Linked DNA regions of Alligator mississippiensis. The protein of the gene in region 1 interacts with the protein of each later gene in a biochemical or structural test. Links are inferred from orthologs where the notes say so. Each region holds a gene or a part of one and is shown on either strand. Other genes may lie near its edges.

What was found.
Region 2: the proteins of CUL3 (region 1) and KCTD17 form a complex in vitro, tested with the Homo sapiens proteins (3 studies listed by BioGRID). The link is inferred for Alligator mississippiensis from reciprocal best matches to the Homo sapiens genes CUL3 and KCTD17.

What each region holds. Positions count from the first base shown.
Region 1 is NC_081830.1:51,712,621-51,723,691, reverse strand, and holds the start of CUL3 (cullin-3), read left to right. Parts: upstream 1-6,213; 5' UTR 6,214-6,469; coding exon 6,470-6,535; intron 6,536-11,071. UniProt on the Homo sapiens protein: Core component of multiple cullin-RING-based BCR (BTB-CUL3-RBX1) E3 ubiquitin-protein ligase complexes which mediate the ubiquitination and subsequent proteasomal degradation of target proteins.
Region 2 is NC_081827.1:100,593,188-100,603,712, forward strand, and holds the start of KCTD17 (BTB/POZ domain-containing protein KCTD17), read right to left. Parts: upstream 4,516-10,525; 5' UTR 4,482-4,515; coding exon 4,266-4,481; intron 2,672-4,265; coding exon 2,563-2,671; intron 145-2,562; coding exon 53-144; intron 1-52. UniProt on the Homo sapiens protein: Substrate-adapter for CUL3-RING ubiquitin ligase complexes which mediates the ubiquitination and subsequent proteasomal degradation of TCHP, a protein involved in ciliogenesis down-regulation.

The DNA.
Region 1 (11,071 bases):
AGTCAATGGCATCATTTGCATAAAGTTATGGATGCATGAAAAAGTTCCGCTGATTAAATGCTAACTGACTCCATGGGGAAATACTAAAACCAAATATACACAGTGGTGTCAAATGTGCAAAGTAAAAACATTTTTAAAATGACATATGTTCTCTCACCTCATTCATTCATAGTCAAGTTAGTAACTGCAGATAAATAAAAGCAAAAAGGAAAATAAAATAGGTAAAAATAATCTCAGACTGAAATGTGATTTTGTAAGTCAATAATACCATTATAATTTTGAAAAATTGCTTGGAGTTCTGCATTGTTTCAGAAATATATATAATAATGTTATAGTAGTGTGTGGGTATATTCTTGTAAATACACTTTTTCTTTCTGATTTAAGTTTTGATGCTGCTGTCTGGTGCCTCTTCAGCATGTGGGTTATTTTCTGTATGTATTGACATCATACATTGCATAATAAAAAAGAAGATAACTCTTCCGTTTGACTCCTAATTAGTTCTGCACACAGGCAGTTAGCTTAACTCTGATAGCATGGAAACTATGAATGTTGCTGCTGAAGAGTGTTCTGTATATCAACTTTCTAACTACAGGCTTTTTTTGACCAAATTTATATTTGCCATCCATTTAGCACCTCATTTAGCAATACAGATACAGCACTTGACCCTCAACCAAGCTGGACACTTGGACAAATTTGTATTGTTCCTGTATAAATCTGAATATGACTCGAAATCATCTACAGTAAGTCTCATCCTCTCTGCTCCCTGTTTGCACCATGTATGCCTGACTATTCGCCACCTTCATATCTGTTTTAACTCCTTTCAGAACACCTTGCCGAAGCATCAGGCCTTTGTATTACAGCCAATATATATTAAAGCCATAGAAATGTAAAAGAGCAAATGTTTACATAGGAATAATGGTACAATGCTTGCTTTCACTACACACTACAACTATCTAAAAACAACTCTCAGAGCCTTTTACCATTTCTGTTGATTGAAATTGTGTGCTTATTTGAAAAGTTCTACTCTGAAATTTTCTGACAAAATGGCTGCTCCATGAAATAGAGCCACTGATTGCTGAATATTGAAATGGCAACAGGTATTTGGGGGAGAAAAATGCTTAGGTGAGATGCTTTTTAGGTAAAAGCTTCACCTAGGAAGAAAAGAACAACAAAATAAATCAAGAATTCTAGAGCCGCCTCAGATAAGTAGGTGACTTTATTATCTCCTAATTATACTCCTCCCTAAAATCTATGAAGCAATGTTCAAGGAAGTTACAATTAAATCTACACGATGTTGATTCACATGCAAAATGGTGAGCAAAACCTCCCAAGGGATAGCAGCTAAGTAGAAGACTAGGAAGAAGGTAGGACAGGGTGACACTTTTATCAACTAACTCGTTCAGAGGCATTCAATAGGAGTTGAACTTGTCCTGTTTTTAGATACAGAAATGTAGTAGTAATCTAATAAATATTTTTTTCTGAATGTTTAGAGTAATGTGTCCACTTTTGGGCTCCATACTTCAGGAAGGATGTGGACAGATTGGAGAGAGTCCAACAGCTAGCAACAAAATAACTAGAGACCTGGAAGCATGACTTATGAGGAAAGGCAAAAAGCTAGTGTTATTTGGTTTGGAGAAGGGAAGGCTGAGGCAGGGGTTTGATAACAGTCTTCAGATACCTGAAGGGTGATGATAGAAAGGATGGAGATGGGTTTTCCTCTGTGGCCATAGGGGACAAGACAAGAAACAATGACCTCAAGACACAGCAAGGGAAATTTAGGTTGGAGATTAGGAGGAACTTTCTGAATATGAGGATGGTCAAGCACCGGAATAGGCTACCTAGAGAAACTGTGGAATCTCCATCCTTGGAAGTTTTTAAAAGCCGGTTGGACAGACACTTGGATGGGATAGTTTAGTCATGGATGATCCTGCTTTGAGCACGGGATTGGACTAGATGACCTCATGGGCCGCATCCAGATGAGCATGGCCAAGCATTATGTAACACGGCAGATACATCTGCGGCACCACATACTGAACATTCTGTTGTTCTCTGCACTGCAAGGGAGCAGCGTAGAGGGTTTTTTTGACCCCTGTATATCCAGGGATCCAAAAAACCCACTGAAAAAAAGTGGAGTGATGCACACGGCAGCAGCATCAGCTGCCCTAAGCGAAGCCTACCTGGCGTAGGCATATGCCACTGCCACCCAGGCTGTGCCACAGGAGTGACACAGCTACAGCCCTGGGAGGCCACCAGCACCCCAGGTAACTTGCCACATGCCAAAGTGCACGTGGCATGGGCATTCCCCAGGAACAACTAGTGGCACAAGGTGTGCCCTCGCTAGTTGTCCCCAGGGAATCAAACGTCCATGCACTTCTTGTCCTACTTTCAGATGATCCTAAGATTCTACTTTTTTTGGACCTTGCTTGCCCACCGTATCCAGAACTCCTTTTGCAATCAAGGAGACTTAAGTGTTTAAAAGTGCCATTTGCTCCATTGGGCCATATCATATTCTTCCAGATGTGACACTGAGAGCAAATCTGCTTGAATCAGGACTCCAGTATTGGGTCCCAAATTATTATACATTGAAAACCAGTCTACTTCTGTTTAGCTGACTTCAGTACATATATAGCATACACTTATTTTGCTGTATCCCCTTTAGATTTTTTTCAGTTATGCTTTATTTTGTGCTGTTATCAACATGGTTCTTTTCATAGACTTTAAAAGTCATGATTGAGAAAACAATTTATTTGTTTCTACGATCACTATTGTGTTAATCTTAATGCACCACATGGAATTAATGCAAAACCTAAAAAAAAGCATCTTATTCAAATAGATATATAGTTAAAAAAGAAATGCTTTTTCTATCTTTATATGTTACTTTAACGGGAAAGGAACCTCTCTCCTTTTCACCCACCATGCAGGAAGCAGCTATTTTGTTCATTTTTTTTCAGATGCAGAAAGTTATAAAATGGGGCCTACTTCCTGAAACTCTTAACCACAGCTTAACTTAAGCATTTGGGTGTTTGCAGGGGTTAGTCATTCTTTCTTGCTCTCATAGACACTTCATATTATTTTTTCCTTCTTACTCTGGAACAAAATATTGAAATGTGTCTGATTTTCATATAAAGTAAGGAGAAACATAGCATAGAGAAGGTAATTTTTATGATTCTTAGGAGCAATAGTTTATTGCCATTCAAAAACTGTGAATTCTGCAAGCAAAGGTTCTATTACAAATGAATTCAGTATGTTACATGTTGCAAAACTGGTGGGGAGGGGGGAAGAAATGTGCATCTGGTTTCTTTAATACCTAAGAACTCTTTGGTATGATACCGAAAGCCTGATTTCCCCCTCCCTCCACCTCTCCCTTCAAATTATACTTCCCATTAGCTTCAACCATGCAGTACTGAGTCATCAAATAGAAAAATTAACTTGAAAAAAAGAAGATACTGTTTTTGGAGATTTCATTGAAATTGTTAATTAAAAATGCAAATAATGTGTTGTACTGGAGCCAAGCTTTTAGAGCTTCTGATGCTCTTCGCCTGGCTCTTAGTATATTGTATAGTATTAGTATACTGTATTATGTATGTATATGTATTATTGTATAGTATTATACACACACACACACACACACACACACATATATATACTATTACATATTAGTATTTTTTATATTTTTTTTATACACACACACACACACACACACACACACACACACACACACACACTATTATATAAGGTTAGTCCAAAGTTTATTTTATTTTAAAACTATAAAAATTATGAAAAGGTCAAAACAAAACTGAAATGAAACTTTTCAGTGAACTAGGTCTCTGACTTATGGATCAAAACAACTTTGAATTATTATTAAAATTCATGAAAATGTGAGATTGACCTTTTTCTCTCTGTTTGGGATGAGAAAAATCTTAGAAAATTCTTGTATCTATGTGAGCTGGTTGTGCCTTTTGCCAGTTCATTTACTGCAAGCTCCAGCCATACCTCTTTCAAGGTTCAAGAAGACAGAGTCCTTTATTTGGAATCATTTTATAATAAAAGTTTGGGCTGCTCTGCCCACTCACTGTATTCAACAAAGGAAATAAAAGAAAATAACTGTGCCCTTACAGTTCAGGCCTCAAAGGTTCCTCGCCTTCTCTTAGTAGAAGCAACCGCCTCCAACCTGCAGTTTAAGGCAAAGATCTCCCTCTAAACTTTTTGTATTCCTTTTAGACAAAAGACTCCTTGTTGAGCCTTAATTTGGTGGCATTTGTTTATTAAGCTCCAAAATGAGATGGAAATTCAAAATGTATGTGGATCTTTTATTTTCATGTAGGCAGTCAGTAGGAAAACTTTGCCCCTCCTACCATTTGCCTTGTCATACCTTGTGACTGTTTCCTATGTATTCTGAGAACGGCTGGATGGTTTTGCCTGGTCGTGCTGAAATCATTAAGACTGTTGTCTTAATCTTGTTGTGCTGTTGTTATATAATGTCTTCTTTAGGTATATAAGTAATTCTGAACAGGAGGTTTAAAATATAGGAACATGCATAATCCCAAGGAACTGTAGTGGTTTGGAACTGAAAGAGACAAAAGAGCAAGTTACTTGGTAAAGAAAAGTTATAGGATGAACACATATATTACTGTGCTCTTAGTATACATATTGCACTGTGTGGGCAGTACTAGGAAAATGGTTGGAGATCATAGGAGAAAGAATGCTGCAGTAGGCAGAATTGAGTTTGGAAGTCACTAGGTAGGCCTCTTATTCCTAGCTGTGCTATATACCACTTGTGTGGGATCCTGAGTGAGCCACTTAGGCCCAAACTTCAAGCACCTGCTAGTTTTTAGAGTGACAAACACAAATATGAGGCCAACCCTATCTCCCCAAATGTACAAAATCTGATATATACAAGCTGTCCTTCCCCATTTTGTGTGTGCCAAGGCTCCTAATGGGCCTTACACACAGGGGGTTCCGGCTAGAGGGTCTTGCCCCTCTGCTCAGGGTCAGACTGAAATTTGGCATAGGGAAATTTTACCCACAAGTCAGATTGACATGGACTGTGAGGGTTTTTTTCTTCCTCTGTAGCTGGGGGTGTGGTCCTCTTCCTTGGATCTCTTCAGCTTTTTTAACAACTTTTCCAACAAGGACAGCGATGGCCGTGGTCACCTTGTTTAAAGATGGCAGGTTCAGGTGTTATGTTTTGTGGTTGCATCAAGGTTGACTGTAGTTTTGCTAAAAGGGTAGACAGTAGGATGGTTTAGATAGAGATGATCCTACTTCTGGCAGGGGGTTGGACAAGAAGATGGCTGGAGGTCCCTTCCCACCTTTTCTCTATGATTCTCTGATTATAGCAACTGCCCCATTCTCAAGGGACCTATATTTAGCCTCATGCACTCACAGGTGTTGCCTCAAGTGGTGCCCTCATTTCTCAGGCGTTTCTTGTGACGAGCAAAGAAAACAGCAAGAGAAAGGAAAACAAATATATTGCGACATAACTCGATGAGTCTCCCAAAGAGTACAACACCCATCGGTGTCATGACTCAGGCTATTCCTACGCAGCACAACACAAGCCTATTTAGTTTGGGTGGAGCACAGCGCTCATTTGGTTTTAGTGCTTCCGATACCAGATCCAGTGCATTTTGAGCTTGCTTGGGTACCGCAGCAGTGGTATGTGCATGTGCACCCTTAGCAGGGCATAACTGACTTCTGAGGAACTAAATTTAGCCTGCAAAAAACAGGAAAGGTCCTATATGTCTGTCCAGTTATTTTCCCCATCTTCCATAGAGCTATAATTGGCTTTTGCCTGATTCGCCTTTCACTGGGTTTGACCCTGTGTTTAAGACTACGTCTGCCTTAGCTTCCTCCCCACTCTGCAGACTTCCCACTGCTGTTGCTGCCCGGGAAGGCCCGGCCATGACAAACTCCCAGCGCCGCAAAAAACAGCTCCCAACAAACTGAACTTTCTAGGACTCCTGCTTTTCTTTGCAATGAAACCCCGGGAGCTGGTGCACTCCCTTGACTCCCGGACCTGGGGCTTTATTGACAGTGAAAACCGCACGGTCCGATAGTACCAGATTTGACGACGCAGCGGCCGGGCCAGACCAGACACCCCCCGGCCGGGGTCGCGGGCCTAGTTGAGGGCCGCGACAGTCCCGCGGAAGTCTCGCGAGAGCGGGAGGCCCCGCCCCCTCCCCCCGGCCGCGCTCCGCCTGCTGCCGCCGCCGCGGCCGGATCTGAGCGCGCCTGGCGGGCGGGGGCGCTCGGCCCTGCGCACTGCGCGATGTTTGTCCGCCATCGCGGCCGAGGAGGAGGAGGAGGAGGAGGCTGAGGGGGCCGCCGCCGCCGCTGCCGCTGGAGGAAGGGGCCTGCGCCGCCGCCGCCACCCGCCCCGCTCCGCCAGGGCCCGCAGTCCGGAGCGAAGGTCGCCGGAGCCCGGCCCGGGCCCACCCGCCCGCGCCCACAGGCGGCTCCGCGCCCGAAGATGTCGAACCTGAGCAAGGGGACGGGCAGCCGGAAGGACACCAAGATGCGGATCCGCGCCTTCCCCGTGAGTGCCCGGCTCGGCCCGGCCCGGCCCGGCCCGGTCGGGGGAGCGGCGGCCTCCGCGGGGTCCGGCTGTTACGAGCCCGGCGCGACCTGTCACGGCGCTCGAGCGGCCGCCGGAGGCCGGCACCGGCCCCCCCTCGCGCCGCGGCCCGGCCCGGCCCTTTCCGCGGGTGTGGGGGCACCGCCGCCAGGCTGCCCGGGGGGAGGTGAGGGGCCGCGACTGCCCGGGCCTAGAGGTGGGTGCCAGTACCGGCCTCCCCGGCCTGGGCCCGCGCCCGGCCTGGGCCCTCCCCTCCGCCGCTCTGACAGTTGTGCCCACTAAAGCGAGTGGGGCTGCTGCGCTGCAGCCTGCCCGCAGGCCTCTCTGTGCGGATGTGCCTGTGCCTGTGTGCCCGTGGGTCTGCGTCTGTGCGTGTGCCTGTGTGTACGTATACCTGTGCGTACCTGCACGCACCTACACATTAAAGAGGAGACTCCATTGACTTGAATTTCAAGCTTTAGGGGAGGGGTTGTGACCCTAGCCTAGATGGTGAGTGGCAAAGGGCCCCTAGGTGTTGCCTGCACACAGAAGTTGGAGCTCCCTGGTTGACCTCACTGCAGCAGCAAGTCTCATGCTGAGGAACATTTACTCGCCCCTAAGGCTTGCTGATTAAATAAAAGAGTTGTTTACATTGGCAGGCTGATGAAGTTCTGCTGAGGAGTCTGATTCAGCTCTAGCTTCTCTATTTTAGACTCGCTTTCTAATTATTGATAATTATATCAACTATAAATGTCAAAGGGGACCACTGCATCTGAGAAAGTTGGGTATCTCTGCTGAAGAATGGCTGGTGGTCACCAAAGAAATTATTTGCTTAATAAGTCATGCTGTTCAGATTTCTTGTTTTGTAGTGAAAAAAAGCAATTCCAAGCGGCCATGGCCGTTGTAAACAATTCATAGGGATACATCATAAAAAAAATTAGAAGTGGCAAAAATGTGACACTTAGATTGCAGCAGACTATGCCAAAGACAATGTACTACACAAGTTTCCTAACAATCTGCTCTGTTCAGCTATTAAAATCTCAGAATGCTTGTAACTAATTGTAAACTAATAGGGACGGGACATGATACTAAGCTAAGACTATTTTTTACATTAGCTGACGGTTCTTGTTACTGAGCATGTAAAGCTGCGCTTGTGGGTGAAGAATGTTCACACACAGATCAGTTCTCGCAAAAAATTGAGCATTGTCATCATTTTCCCCTTCAGAATGGTTCTTGTTAGAACATTGTTATAATTTCTCTTCTCTGCAGTTATTTGAAGAATGACTCCATTAAGATTCTTCACAAAAATTAACTTCCACCAAAGAAAAACTCTATTAAGTATACATAGATATTGGGACCTGCACATTTCCAAAGTAGAAGCTGACATCTTTTGACAGAACTTTTTTCAAGGCTCACTATTTAGAACTGATTTTGATTTCCAAAACCAAACTGGATCAGATAAAGGGGCTTGAAAGTGAAAAAAAGAATATGTACCCAAATAGTTGCTGTTGAGGGTTTTCTATCCTTACCTGTGTAATGTTAAAGTTACTACTTTGTGCAAAGATTTGTGTGTGTGTAACTTTACTTATGTGAGTAATCCAGTTGACTATTCATGTAAGTAAAACTATTTGTATTTTCAAGATTGGTATCTGTATTTAGAATTTACTTCATTTACCTTAAGCTACCAATCTTCACTGTTTTTACCACCTCTTATTCTGAGGCATCTCTGTTTGTGATGTCCAGTGTTGGTGCTCTGCTTGCCATTTAGGTGTCTTTATTACATCTCCCATTTCCTTTTTATTCCTTTCCTGCTTTTTTGATTTAAGTTTCTCAAATGGAAAGACTGCCTGCTTACTATTACATAATTTTATAAAGGTAACTACCAGTAGTGTGGTTACTGTCTAGTGCAGCAGTTCCCAAACTGTAGGTTGAAACCCTGAACGTGGGTGGCAACATCATCAGTGGATGGGATGGCAATAAACGTGCCTCCTGAGATTTCTGAGCCCAGTGGGATGCGGGGTGCAGCCAAGCCGGACCAGCTGTGGGCAGGAGCTTCCTCTGCGGCCCAGTGGACGGGACCCATTTTGGGAGTGCTGCATCACCATATCCGCCAAGGTGAGACACAGCAGCTGCAGTGGCATGGAGTTTTGCCCTCACTGCTGGCAGATAAGCCAGGGGTGCCTCACCTGGGCAGCTGTGGCAGTGCAGCACTCCCTCTCATACCTTGTCCTGCCTACTGGACCACGGGGTCCCTGGGGGGAGAGGGCAGGGAGCCCCAAGCCTGCCTACAATGGGCAGCCCACATCCCTGCCCACCCCCCGGCTCCTCTCCACAGGGTAGTGCTGCCTGGAGGGGGGGGGGGGGGGGCGGGGGCGGGGGCGGGTGCAGCTGGGCTCGTACTTCTCTCTGGCCACACCTGCTGTCGCCTCCTGTGGGTGGCTGCTGGGGGTTGGGGGGGCAGGGAGCTGTGGGTCCTGGCCCTGGGGCACTGTGGGGGTTGGGGAGTGAGGGGCACCTGGGGTTGTGGAGGCCTGGAGGCTAGGAGTGAGGGGGCATGCTGAGGAAATGGGGTCACACTGAGGAAAAGTTTGGGAAGCACTGGTCTAGTGCTAGTCCTGGCCCTATAACTTATTCAGTATTTTTTTTCTATAGTATACATGGGTGAATGATAAAGAAAGGTACAGGCAGTCCTCAACTTACAATGTTTCAAGTTACAACATTTCGCACTTACAACGTTTATAAATTGACACCCTGTTTCAACTTTCTAACGTCAGTTTCGACTTTACAACACTTGATCCGACGTCAGGCCATGCCAGCGAACAAGCTCGCTGCATTGTCCATCTCCCTGGAGAACATCTGTCTGACCTTCCGTGGACATTTTCTTTAAGAAAGCAGACAAAGCTGAGCCAAAATTCCTGAGAAGACTCCAGCCAAGAGCCCTTCAAAAAGTGTAGCAAAGTTGCCTCAAAAAAGTCCTTCCAAGTCAATATGATTGCTATTTAGACTATAAACACATTAATGTAGCTATATTACTCATCTATAATTGACTGAGTACAAAATTCTGCATTATTGTTGGTGAAAATAGTGTATCGGGCCTTGGCTCAGCAACCAATCCCCCATTTATAACATTGTTTCCTATGGGAAAATTGGTTCCGAGTTACATTTCGACTTAAGACCCTGTTTTCAGGAACCAATTCTGTCATAAGTCTGAGGACAGCCTGTATAAAATAATAATTTTTGCTGTTAAGGAAACTATATTAACATTATTGCCCAATCACTAATGCTTTGCTTGGATATCTTTCATTTTTTTGTAGACATAATGTTCTTCTCTGTTCTTTATTTTTACTTTCTTGACTTTTGGTGGCAAACATCACTCCATAGAACTATTCTTTGATACTTACTAACCAGGTGCTGATGTTCAGAGCATTAGGGTAGCTTTTTCTTCCTTCAAGAGCAGTAGTAGCCTTGAGTACCTTGGAATTTAGATGCTGAAGTGGATTGCTTGGTAGTCAGAAGTAGTCAGTGAATAGAATTCCTTGATCGGTAATCTGCCCTTTCCATTCATAATAGAAAAGACATAAGTTTACCCATCCAGCTTCACACTAGTGTGTTAAAGGAGGGTTTTATCCTGTGTTTATTTACTCAACTTGCCTTCAAAGCAGTGGAAGCTAGTTCTAAAGCAGTGGGAAAAAATTAAAACTTAGAACCAAAAATGGCCAATATGAAGGTGTTTGTGTTTCTCAGCATTGCATTCTGAACTTGCTCAAATCTAGGAATAGAGATGGAAATAACTTTAAGATCTTGAAATTTTATATATTTGCAGGGGGTAATGATGGTTAATTTAGGGTCATGCCTTGAAGTATCTTGTGTATCTACAGACTCTCAGGTATAGAAGACTTGTATTTTTGAAAATGTCATAATACAATGGGCTTTCTTGGCCATGGAACTTCCATGATGTATATCCATGCATACATCTTTTTATCACTGATACTGATTTTTACAGCAACAAAAGCAAAAAAAAAAACCCAGACTAAACTTGGCATAGGGTTTTGAATGGATTAAATTTTTTAAACAATCTCTTACTTTGTTTGTCCATTATATTTTCAGTGCTTGGGCACTAAGTCAGATAGTATTGACTCAGCATGTGAAATGTAGCAAATAATTGTTGTCACTTGATAATGCCTGTCTTTGACTTGTCCATTCTATATATTGGCTACATTTTGTAAATACTGCTTTAAGTTTAGGAAGTGAAAGAGTGTCCCCTTGCATGACGAATATTATGTTGTGCAGAAAATCTCAATGTTGATGGTTTTCCAAAACATGGGAAAAGAAACTGGGGTTATTTTCTCTCCTTGTCATCAGATTAATGAACTCCAAAACAGTGGTCTCCCTCCGCAGGCTGCTGACACCCAAGTTATTTCTGCACCTGTTATCAGTGGAATGCTAGCAGTGTAGCCACGTTTGCATGGTGCTAGGCCTGGCTTAACTAGTTTTGCCTGTCAGCAGAACTAAGCCCAA
Region 2 (10,525 bases), on another chromosome or scaffold:
TGGTTCTTCTTTCTTCCTCAGCTCCACCTTCTGTCTCCTTCTCTCCCCATACCTGTGTTACTGTGTAGTCCTTCTCCTCCAGTCTGTCCTTGATTATTCTGATTAAAGGGCCAATGTTATAGAACTCGGCTTCTTCCAGAACCCCTAGAAATAAAGGCACAGAGAGCACAAAAGGCACGTGGATGAGCTGCTGTACTTTCTTATTGGCTTATTTTCTCTGTTTCTCAGTCCCATTTGGCATCTCCAAGAATTCAGATCCATTGACCAGGAACTCCTCGTACATGAAGAGGTTTGGGCTGTTTGGAAACTCCTACACCTGGTATTGAATTCAGACTGCCCTGATTACTGGACCATGGGAAGAGGTAGTGGCCTGAACTGAACCCCAGCTCCCTGGTTACCATTCCTAGATTCATAGATGCTAGGGTTGGAAGGGACCTCAACAAATCATCGAGTCTGACCCCCTGCCCTGGGCAGGAAAGAGTGCTGGGGTCAGATGACCCCAGCCAGTTGCCTATCCAACTCTCTCTTAAAGACCTTCAAGGTACAGAAGAGCACCACCTTCCTTGAAAGCCTGTTCCAAATTCTGGCCACCCTTACCGTGAAGAAGTTCTTCCTGATGTCCAGCTTAAATCTGCTCTCTGTCAGTTTACGACCATTGTTTTTTGTTATCCCAAGAAGCGCCCTGGTGAACAGAGCATCTGCAATCCCTTTCTGCGCCCCCCTAATGAATTTGTAGATGGCCACAAGATCACTTCTCAGCCTTCTTCTGCGGAGGCTGAAGAGATCCAGTTCCCTTAGCCTCTCCTCATGGCACTTGGCCTGCAAACCCTTAAGCGTATGAGTGGCCCACCTCTGTACCCTCTCGAGTTATCCACATCTTTCTTAAAGTACAGCACCCAAAACTGGACGCAGTACTCCAAGTGCGGTCTGACCAACGCCACATAGAGGGGAAGTGTCACCTCTTTGGATCTGTTTGTCATGCATCTTGCTAATGCATAATAAAGTGCAGTTAGCTTTGCTGATGATTTCATCACATTGATGATTCATGTTCATCTTGGAATCCACTAGGACTCCAAGATCCCTTTCTGCTTCTGTGCTGCTGAGAGGGTCATTCCCCAGCCAAGAAGTGTGCTGGATATTTTTACGCCCCAAGTGCAGCTCTCTGCATTTGTCCTTGTACTGCATCCTATTGTGTTCTGCCCACTTTTCCAACCTGTCCAGGTCCACCTGCAATCATTCCCTACCCTCCAGTGTGTTCACTTCACTCCACAATTCAGTATCATCTGCAAACTTGGACAGAGTACACTTCACACCCACATCCAAGTCACCAATGAAGACATTGAAGAGTACAGGTCCAAGGACCGAGCCCTGCAGGCCCCACTGCCTACATGCTTCCAGGTCAATACTGACCCATCCACCACCACACTCTGGGAATACCCCCCTATCCTGGCTGTGATTCCAGAAAGGGGGCACTGTTCAATGAGCTCTGAACCCAGGCCCACTGCTCACTTTCCCAGGGAGAGAAAGGCTCTCATTATGGGGTACACAACCTGCTCCCTCTGATTTACTGACTGAGGAGGTTGATTATAAGCCCCTGGCTACCTTTCTGAGGGCTTCACTTTGGCCCTTGGTTACTGTCCTGAGGGCTTCATTCAGCGGCCACTGAATACACTCTCAGTTTCTCTTCTGCAGAGTTCTATATGCTCAAGAGTGAGACCTGATTTCACTTCTTGTCATTGTCCTAGGACTACAGGAATTTGAGTTTTCCCATCTGGTCCCTGTCCTTCAGTGACCTTTGTCTTGCTGATCTCAGAACTGAATTGTGCTTTACCTCAAAGCAGATCAACAAAGATTTGTGTTTCACTTTAAGCTACTGTGTTTGCATCTGGCCCCTCTCCTGAGACACACGTGATCATGTTGCTAACAGGCCTGTGGGAGAGGGTAGGTGGGGGGCATGGTACCTAATGGGTCCACAAGGGGCAATGATGTCTCAAAAACAACCTTCACAGATTCCCTGGTCAGTATGCAGACATGGCAGGCAAGTGAGATTTGTCTGACCTCACCCTTCCCACTTTAACCCACTCAGAGCTTTTCATCCTCCTACCTTCCTAGTGGAAAAAGTGGAAGGGTGAGAAGGGACTGAGTGACAAAGCAGTCTCAGCCAAACAGGGCTCAAACCCTGTCAGGTTGCATTGGAGAAGGCCACCTGCATCCTATTTGATAATTCAGCAGGGAACTTACTATCCCTTTGACCACAGTGACCTTGTTGCTCCTTTCCCATCTCTTCTGATCCCCAGTAACTGCAACAGCCCATTCAACCAGCGGAGCAGTGATGGGGACACCAGCTTGTTCAAGGGTTGGACTCAAACTGGGCTTCCCTCACCATCCTAGTGGGCACTCCCTCCCAAGCACTTATTCAGTGTATCAAATGAAAACTGACCCATTTTCAAGACAGCAGAATGGAATGAGGTCAGGGAATTAGGGCAAAGAGCATGTAATGTAACCCACTTCCAGCAGCAGGGAGAGGTGTTAAGAAGGAAGTTTGGGGTTTCTAAGACTCACCCTCTTCAGCCATATCTTTATCCAGTACCAGCTTGCCATGACGGAGAAAATTCAGGATAGGTCCAAAGTATGTGGGGTCCCGGTCTATGAGGTAGGCACCAGTCTCATCCTAACCACAGAGACAAGCCAACATAGGAAAAATGTACAAGGGAAACTTGTCCCCATCCCTGACAACACCATGCAATGAACTGTAATAACATAATAATTTTAGTAACAATATATGATATTTCTATGGCTCTTTTGAGTAGTAGTAAAGACATGGCAATGGAGCTGGGTTCAGTTCTCTTGGCTATGCAATCTTGGGACATTTACCACAATCTCTCTGTGCCTCAGCTTCCCTATGAAAGATGAAGATGATGCTACCTCCCTTCTTTAAGAGATTTGAGATGAAGAAAACCATAAGCATTAGGCCTCTTAAATCCTTCCGAATCACATAGGCATACAGTACCATATAGAAAAACAGCCACATCTGAGTGAAGGGCTGCTGGTAAATGCTGCAGACAACAGTGCTACAAATACACAAGCTCAGGTACTTTGGCAAAGTCAGCATCAAAGCCAAGCAGCCCATCAGGCCAACACAGTTAAAGCACTCCAGTTTCTGCAGCCAACAGAGGGACATTATGTTCAGCTGCTTCTGGTTCTCCTGCCTAAACGAACAAGTACATATTTACAGCTGGTTCAACAGGAACAGATTCCAGCACAAGTCCAGCATGAGGCTCAAACACACAGCTTCAGGTTCACAGCAAGATGCCTTAACTACTATGTTATCATACTTTGCTTGGCAAAGCATGCTGGGTCAAAACAGTACCCAGGATTTTTAACTTTCATACAGAGCAAGCGGGACCTTGATTGTAAAGGTCTCACTATCCTAAGCTCAGCCCCGCAGCAAAAGAGACAATACTCTTACTTTTTCTCCCTCTGATAAACTGAAAGGATCTAGGAAACTCCTGCACAGATTTGAGCTGATGGGCTTCCTGACATTTCAGGCCTGAAGCTGCCACCCCTCCAAACTCTCCCTTCTGATTGATAAGGCTTTCTGGGAGCTTTACTACATTTCCCTGTCAGTAACAGCAAGAATCAAAAATAAAAAGTCGGGGACTCTCCACTCAGCATGGCTCCTACCTTGACAGTCGCATGAAGGCAAGGAGGATGGGAAGCTCTTAATTTTGGCTGTACTCGGCAAAGCTATTTCTCCTGTCAGGCTTCAGCTTAAAGTCTGAGCCAAGCAGTGGCTCAAAGCTAGGGCACTTCAGGTGGAGTAGTGACAGCACAAGAAAACAGAGCCTCTCTGGAGTTGCTGGTAGTTCTGGTGCAGAAGACAGGTGTTATGCCACATGTTAAGACAGCTGCATGGCACTAAAAAGAGAAAACCAGGGGATCCAGGGAGGGATGAAGGTCTCTCCATCAAATTACATCTGCCCCTCTGCAGCCGCAGAGATGCTGTGCCCTCCCTGCCATCAGCCTGGCTCCATCCCTTTCTCTCCTATTCCTGCACCGAACCTTTCTCTGCCCGTGTGCTCCTTTCCCTCTCTCCTCTTTTCCTCGTGCCTCCCAGCCCAGCCTGTGCAGAGCTTTGTCTCTCCCTCAGGGGTCCCTTTCTTCCCAGATGGGTACAAGAAGAAGGCAGAACACAACCGCATGCACGCACACACGATGCCAGGCAGAAAGCTACCCCTCAGGGCAGGTGCCAGCCTGATGCTTACCTGGTCCGACTGCAGCTCCTCCCCCTGGCACAAGCGGCACAGGAATGATTTCTGTTCCCGGCACAGGGTCTGCCTCGTGGTTAGGAAGATGGTGCCCCCAACATTCAGCCGTACCCACTTGCCCCTGCTGCTGGTGGCAGGGGGAGGCTGGTGAGTTTCCCAGGCATAAGAAACCCTTTCTGCCCGTTGCATTTCCTCCCTTCCTTCCATCCTCATCTCTCCCTCTCTCTGTCTCTCTCTGTCCCTCCCCTGCTCCTAAGCTAAAGAAACCAAGGCAGGTATTGGACACTGGAGGATTCTGGGACCTGTAGTTCCTGAGGTGGCCTGCACCCCAGAGGTGGCCGCATTTCAGTGGTGCTGTACATACACAGCTTCTTAAATGCTATGGGATCTTTTGGGAAGATAGATGCTGGATGAATGCCGTATCTACTGTTCTTGGTGAATGGCACAAGAAGCAAAAGTGAGATCCACAATCTGAACCACTGCTATCATTCAGAGGGCATTAGGATCACGGTTTTTGCTTACAGCCCTTCTCTAATTTTTATGAGTGTACTTGCTATACAGCACTTTGAAGAGGCAAAGTAATATGTAAAAAACTTTAGCTGTCAGGTGAGTGAGGGTCTCTCTGAAAATGGGCACCTAGGAATTCTGGGAACTGTAGTTTTCCATGTCCCACCATGCCTGCAACCCATGATGGGTGGACTTGGGAGATGCTGAGAAGTGCAGTGTAACACATCCCACTAACCCTGCTGTGGGACACCAAAGGGCTCTAGAAGCTGGCCTCCAGATCTGGGTCACAAATGCAGTGTGCTTTGAATGGAGGAGAAAACTGCTGTGCCCATCTGCCAAATAGTGTTATCCCTTCCAGTGCCTGCAGGACAGTCACCTTTCCTGTTCCTGATTCCCCAAACAGGTATCTGACTGCTATCTCAGTCACTGCAGTGCTGTTGAAGTAGAGAAGTTGGACAATTTCCTTCTCTGAAGTGGGTGGTTTTAAGAGAGGGAAATTAGCCTTCAGCAGCAAAGCCCAAGTTCTTTATATTTCTCTCTGACTCAGAACAGCCATCTATCTACTTGGCAAATTTTCCCTAATCTGCTACCGTTCCAACACCTCTAAATCTGCCTGGCAGAGACTCCTTCGTGGGGGGGAAGGAAAATGAGTCTCCATGTTCACTTAGTCACAGGGCTTTGCTGCTACCACACACACACACACACACACATACTCTCCAGTGTACCTCTGGAATGATGTAGCACCTTCTAAAAGTTTCTACCTCTAGCTCTTCTGAATGCCCCATTCTAGGCAGTGGTTGTGGGAAAGAAAAGACCAGCTTCATCAGCAATTTAGTTGCATGGATTCCAAGACTTAAGCAAAACACGAATGCTTTATCTATCCCACAACCCAGCGTCTACCACACCCTACTAACCAACTACAGCCACGCCTGCCAATCTTTCAAACCGTATTCATATCAGGAAGAAAAATGCTGATTGCTTCCCTCCCTTAGTCTGACACAGTCTATATCTTCTCTTACCTCTTTTCCAAATAGGTTTCTGACCTTTGGTAGTGCAACACACAAAATGCAGCAGCATAGACATTTTAATTTATCATGTCCAAATGTTGCCTTTCCAGTCCAGGCTGTTGCTACACCATGATATGCATGCTCTAGCTTTTGTTCTAATCAAGGATATGCATCTATATATTAATAACAGTGTTTGCAGGAATGGTGCTCAACCTTTTTAAGGCACCTCTTGGAAAATACTGGCTTTTAGTTTTCATTCTTTTTTGAGTATGGGAAAATAATAGAGCCATTTTTCTGTTGCAAATAAATCATATAGACCACAACAGGTCAGAATGTTTTTAACATTATGGATACCTAGTTGAAATCACTGGGTTTATCTTGTGAATCATTCTTGTACACCGAACAGTGCTACCTTTGTGTAGCACCCTACAACACCCTTGAAAGAAACTCACGGTACTCCAGGATGCCATCATTGCCTTAGGCGCTTTTGCTGATGTAATCGGGCACCAAACCCCTTCAAAATCATGTTGCAGTGCTAGATGTTAATATCTGAACAGAAATCACAGGCCTGACTGTGCACCTTCAAGGTGTTTGCAAAATTGGGCTGTGCTTTTCAGGCCAGCAAGTAGTGTATTGGGTGAGCATGGGCAGACTAGCATTACTTTGGGCTATACTGATTGCTCTAGGATAGTCTGTGAGGAAATTAAGGGATTAATAGCAAAGAAATTATGTTCTGGGAAGAAGAGAGAGGGATGGGAGGGGCAGAAAGCAGGAACAGGGAATTGTAGGACTGCTACTGGAGGATTTCCTATGCTTATTAGGCCTGTGTGAGTCAGCAGCAATCTGATCCGGCTTCAGATCTGGCCGCTTCGGATGGCCGCGATCCGATCTGGAACTCCGACTGGGTTCCCGCCTCCATCCAGCCAAAGCATCGGAGCCACCTCGGAGATCTGGCCATAGGGTATAATGGGGAATCAATGAAATATCTATAACTTTGTTGTTTTTTGTCTGATTTGGATGAACCTTGCAGGGATGGTAGCCTCTCCTGAGAGCATGAAACCTGCCACGTTTCAAGAAGATCAGTGCAAGGGTTTGGGAGGAACTGTACCCCAAATTCTTGAAAGCCAAACTCCTGTCATGTCTATGTGTTACAATGGGGTTGGGGGGTGGGGGGGGTGAAAACTGCAGGACTGGTAGCTCGTACTGTGTCCACAAAGCCTGCCAAGTTTCAAGGAGATCGGTGCAGGGGCTTGGTGGGAACTGCACCTCAAGCTGTGGTCAAGCAAAACTCATGCCATGGGTGATACTGTGCGCGCTAAGGCGCAGCGGGGTGACAGCTGCAGGGATGGTGGCCCCTGCTGTGGCCACGACGCCTGCCAGCTGGAGGAGATCGGTGCAGGCAGGTCTGGGGCCCTGCATCCCTAGCTGCTGACAGACAAAACTGTGCCAAGACTGTCTGTGTCTTGGGTTAGTTGATTGTCTGCTTTGATTCTTTCCTCTCCTTAGCCTGGGTTTGTAGGTGCTAATTGATGCTCGTTAAGTCGTTATGTAGTAGCTAGGTCCTGTGTATTGAGCTGGGCCCTGAGGCCCTGGTCCCTGAGAGAATCATGGATTGATTGGTAAGGGGGAACCCAGCAGCTTAGCAGCCAGGCCTGCAGCAGCAGTCTCCCCTCCCTGTCCCAAGACAGACACAGTCAGTCCCACAAGCACCCATGGCACCAGTTTTTCTTGTCTGCAGTTTGAGGGGCAGTTCCCCCCAACCCCCTGCACCGATCTTCTTGAAACTTGGCAGGCTTTGTGGCCTCAGTAAGAGCTACCAGCCCTGCAGTTTTCACCCCCATGTTGTAAGACATAGACGTGACATGAGTTTTGCTTTCAAGAATTTGAGGTACAGTTGCCCCAAAACCCCTGCACTGCTCTTCTTGAAACTTGGAAGGATTCATCCTACCTGCAGAGTCTACCACCCCTAAAAATGTCATCTAAATTGGACAAAAAACAACAAAGTTATAGGTATTTTATTGTTTCCCCATTATACCCTATGGCTGGATTTCCGAGACGGCTCCGAGACAGCTCCAAATCGCTTCGTGAAGCCTAATGAGGCCAGTGCTTCGACCCGGATCTGCCGCTTCAGACCCCGAAGCATCTGAATCTTCTCTGGATCCAAAGCTCTGTCCAAAGCCTCACACAGCCCTAGTGCATATACGCTGTAGCTTGTGGCTACAGGGTGACTACACCGAAAAATTAGGCTTGACTGTCTGGAGTCTGGGGACCCAGGAGTGCTGGGAGTTGACTACTGAGGTTCTGAATGTGTCTGGTTAGGGAGCATTGGCATATATATCTGGGCTTGCCCAAACTATCAGCACATATATATCCAGACATATGATGAGCTCACAATGAAAAGAGCAAGCCAGCAGCACCCTGACTTGCTAAGTGAGCACAGACTCTGGTTATTTTTCTCTTGAGATGACACCAATTCTAACTTGTTGCTTCCCTATAGAGTTGGGACATTAGCTCTTTTAAATGACTTTGAGAAAGGGTGTGAATTAAACAGAGATGCTGATGAGGCTGCATGTGGTACCTGTCCCCTTCACTGTCAGGGAAGGCAGTGGAAGCTTTTGCCAAGTGCCTGAGGAGGTCTGCGGCAATCTTAAACTTTGTAAAATAGCTCTGCTACCAAAGGTGATGCTGACATACAAAACAGAGAGAAACTATAGAGGGAGTGAGCTGAGAAGAGGGGATACAGTTATGCTGGAATGGCTACAAGAAAGAGGTTCCCCCTCTGAAAAGGAGGAAATAGGGGAAAATAGGGGAGAGTTACAATCTTTCAAGAGGCTTCTGAGTGTGGAACAGATCCAGAACCTGCCCCAAGACTGAAAGGATATGTGCATCATAGGGGAATGTGCAGATGGTTCAAAGACAGCCTAAAGAGGAGTGTCCCAGACATGAGATCCAGGTAAAGGGAGAGGAAGGTGCTCTAAACTGAGGGCATGTGGGCATGCCTATGGCAAGTGGGAGAGGCATCCCTCAACTGACTCCTGACATTTTATCGCCTGATGTAACCTCTCCCAGGGACTGGGGCACGAAGGACCCCGAGCCACATGCCCTAGGGTTAGTGCATCATAGCAGCCCGAGCAGAGCAGGTGAGATGCTGCTCTTCAGGTGCAGGTGCTCTGAATGCAAGGCCAGAGCAGGTAAATAATCTGCAATCAGACCCAGGATCAACAAGAGGTACCAGTCAATGTGGTGATATCTGAGGGATGGAAGTACATGAAAGCTGCCCATGCTTGGTCAAACCCTGCATGGTACCCTTCAATAACATCGCTGTCACAGTTCCAAGGTTAACTACATAAATAATCCTTTTATGGCATTCTCAAGAGCAGCTGATTAGATCTTGGGTCTCTGGCTGTCACCTGTTTTTGGAACAGAAAGTTGTATTCCACCTCTTCCAGACCGGAATTTTAAGGTGCAGTCCCCTGAGGTCCAACTATGTTCACCCATGCACTATAATGATGACAGGCTTTTGGTGTGGGAACCAAAGTTACGGAGCATGCTGTATGGGGGGACAACTCAAGACATGGAATGAGACACATATGGGCTGGGGGCCATATAGGCAAAGCTGGTTGTTCATGTGGGTGTGTAGTTTAAGCTACATGTTAAGTAAAGAGTCCAGTATCAATTGAAAATTTCTGGTATCATGTTTGATATATAAGCATTGGATATTACACCCAGGTCAGAACATGGTGCAGCACCTGCAGAGCTGTGTTCCCTCAGAGACGATGATGCAGTGGCCAACCACCTTTTGCAAAGCACATTATTATTTATTTAAAGCAAAGGCATTACAGAGAAACAGTCACAAAACAATAAACAGCGTATACACTTACAAGGCTTGCCAAGGTTTACCTGACTTCCGGATAAGTTTCTAAATAGCCCAATTAGAAGTCTGTCAGTTGTCAGGTCTGACATTTTTTTCCCAAAGTAGAGCTGTCTCTTTTAGTTGCTTGCTGCCTTCTTGAATCATTATGTACAATTCCCCCACCTTTCACACCTCCATAGTTGAGGTTTCCATAGACCTGTCAGCTACTTTTGGCATTGACATAACGTCATCCTCAGTAACCCCAGATCCCATGGGACACCTGCTTAATGAGCCAGGAGCACAGGGGCACATTTGAGCTGCAGTGCAGTGGCCATTATGAATTTGTCAGTGTCCACAGCTTCTATAATATCTGAACATAATGAGACTTTGACACTTCTAAGCTTCCAAAATATCAACTCTACCTCAGTCCCTGTGTTGACCCCATTGCCATGCCTGTAGACCAAGTCAAAAAAAGGCTCTGGGATCCTGATACTGGGCTATTGGAAGATAATTCCTTTTGGTACCTTATTAGGAAAATAACATAGCACTGAACACTTTGGAGGGCTTCTTTCCTTTCCTCGTTCATACCTTGTGACACGGTATTTAGCAGAAGTTGCAGATTTTTTGGAATCTAACAGGGCTGCACAACTTCAGAAGGATAGCAGGCAAGCTCACTGCAGCCAAACTAGACAGGAGGGAAGTTGACCTATAATGTTTTCATGAATCTCTGCTTTGGTGCAGCCATAGGAACTGTTAGCCAAATGAATGGATGGCAGTTGAACTAATAAGCAGTCATGCCTAGAGATGTAGGGCTGGGACGTTCCTAGGGTACATGGGAAGTACCGCTGCTACAGGGTTCTCCAGGGGAAGAAATGTGAAATTTCGGAGGA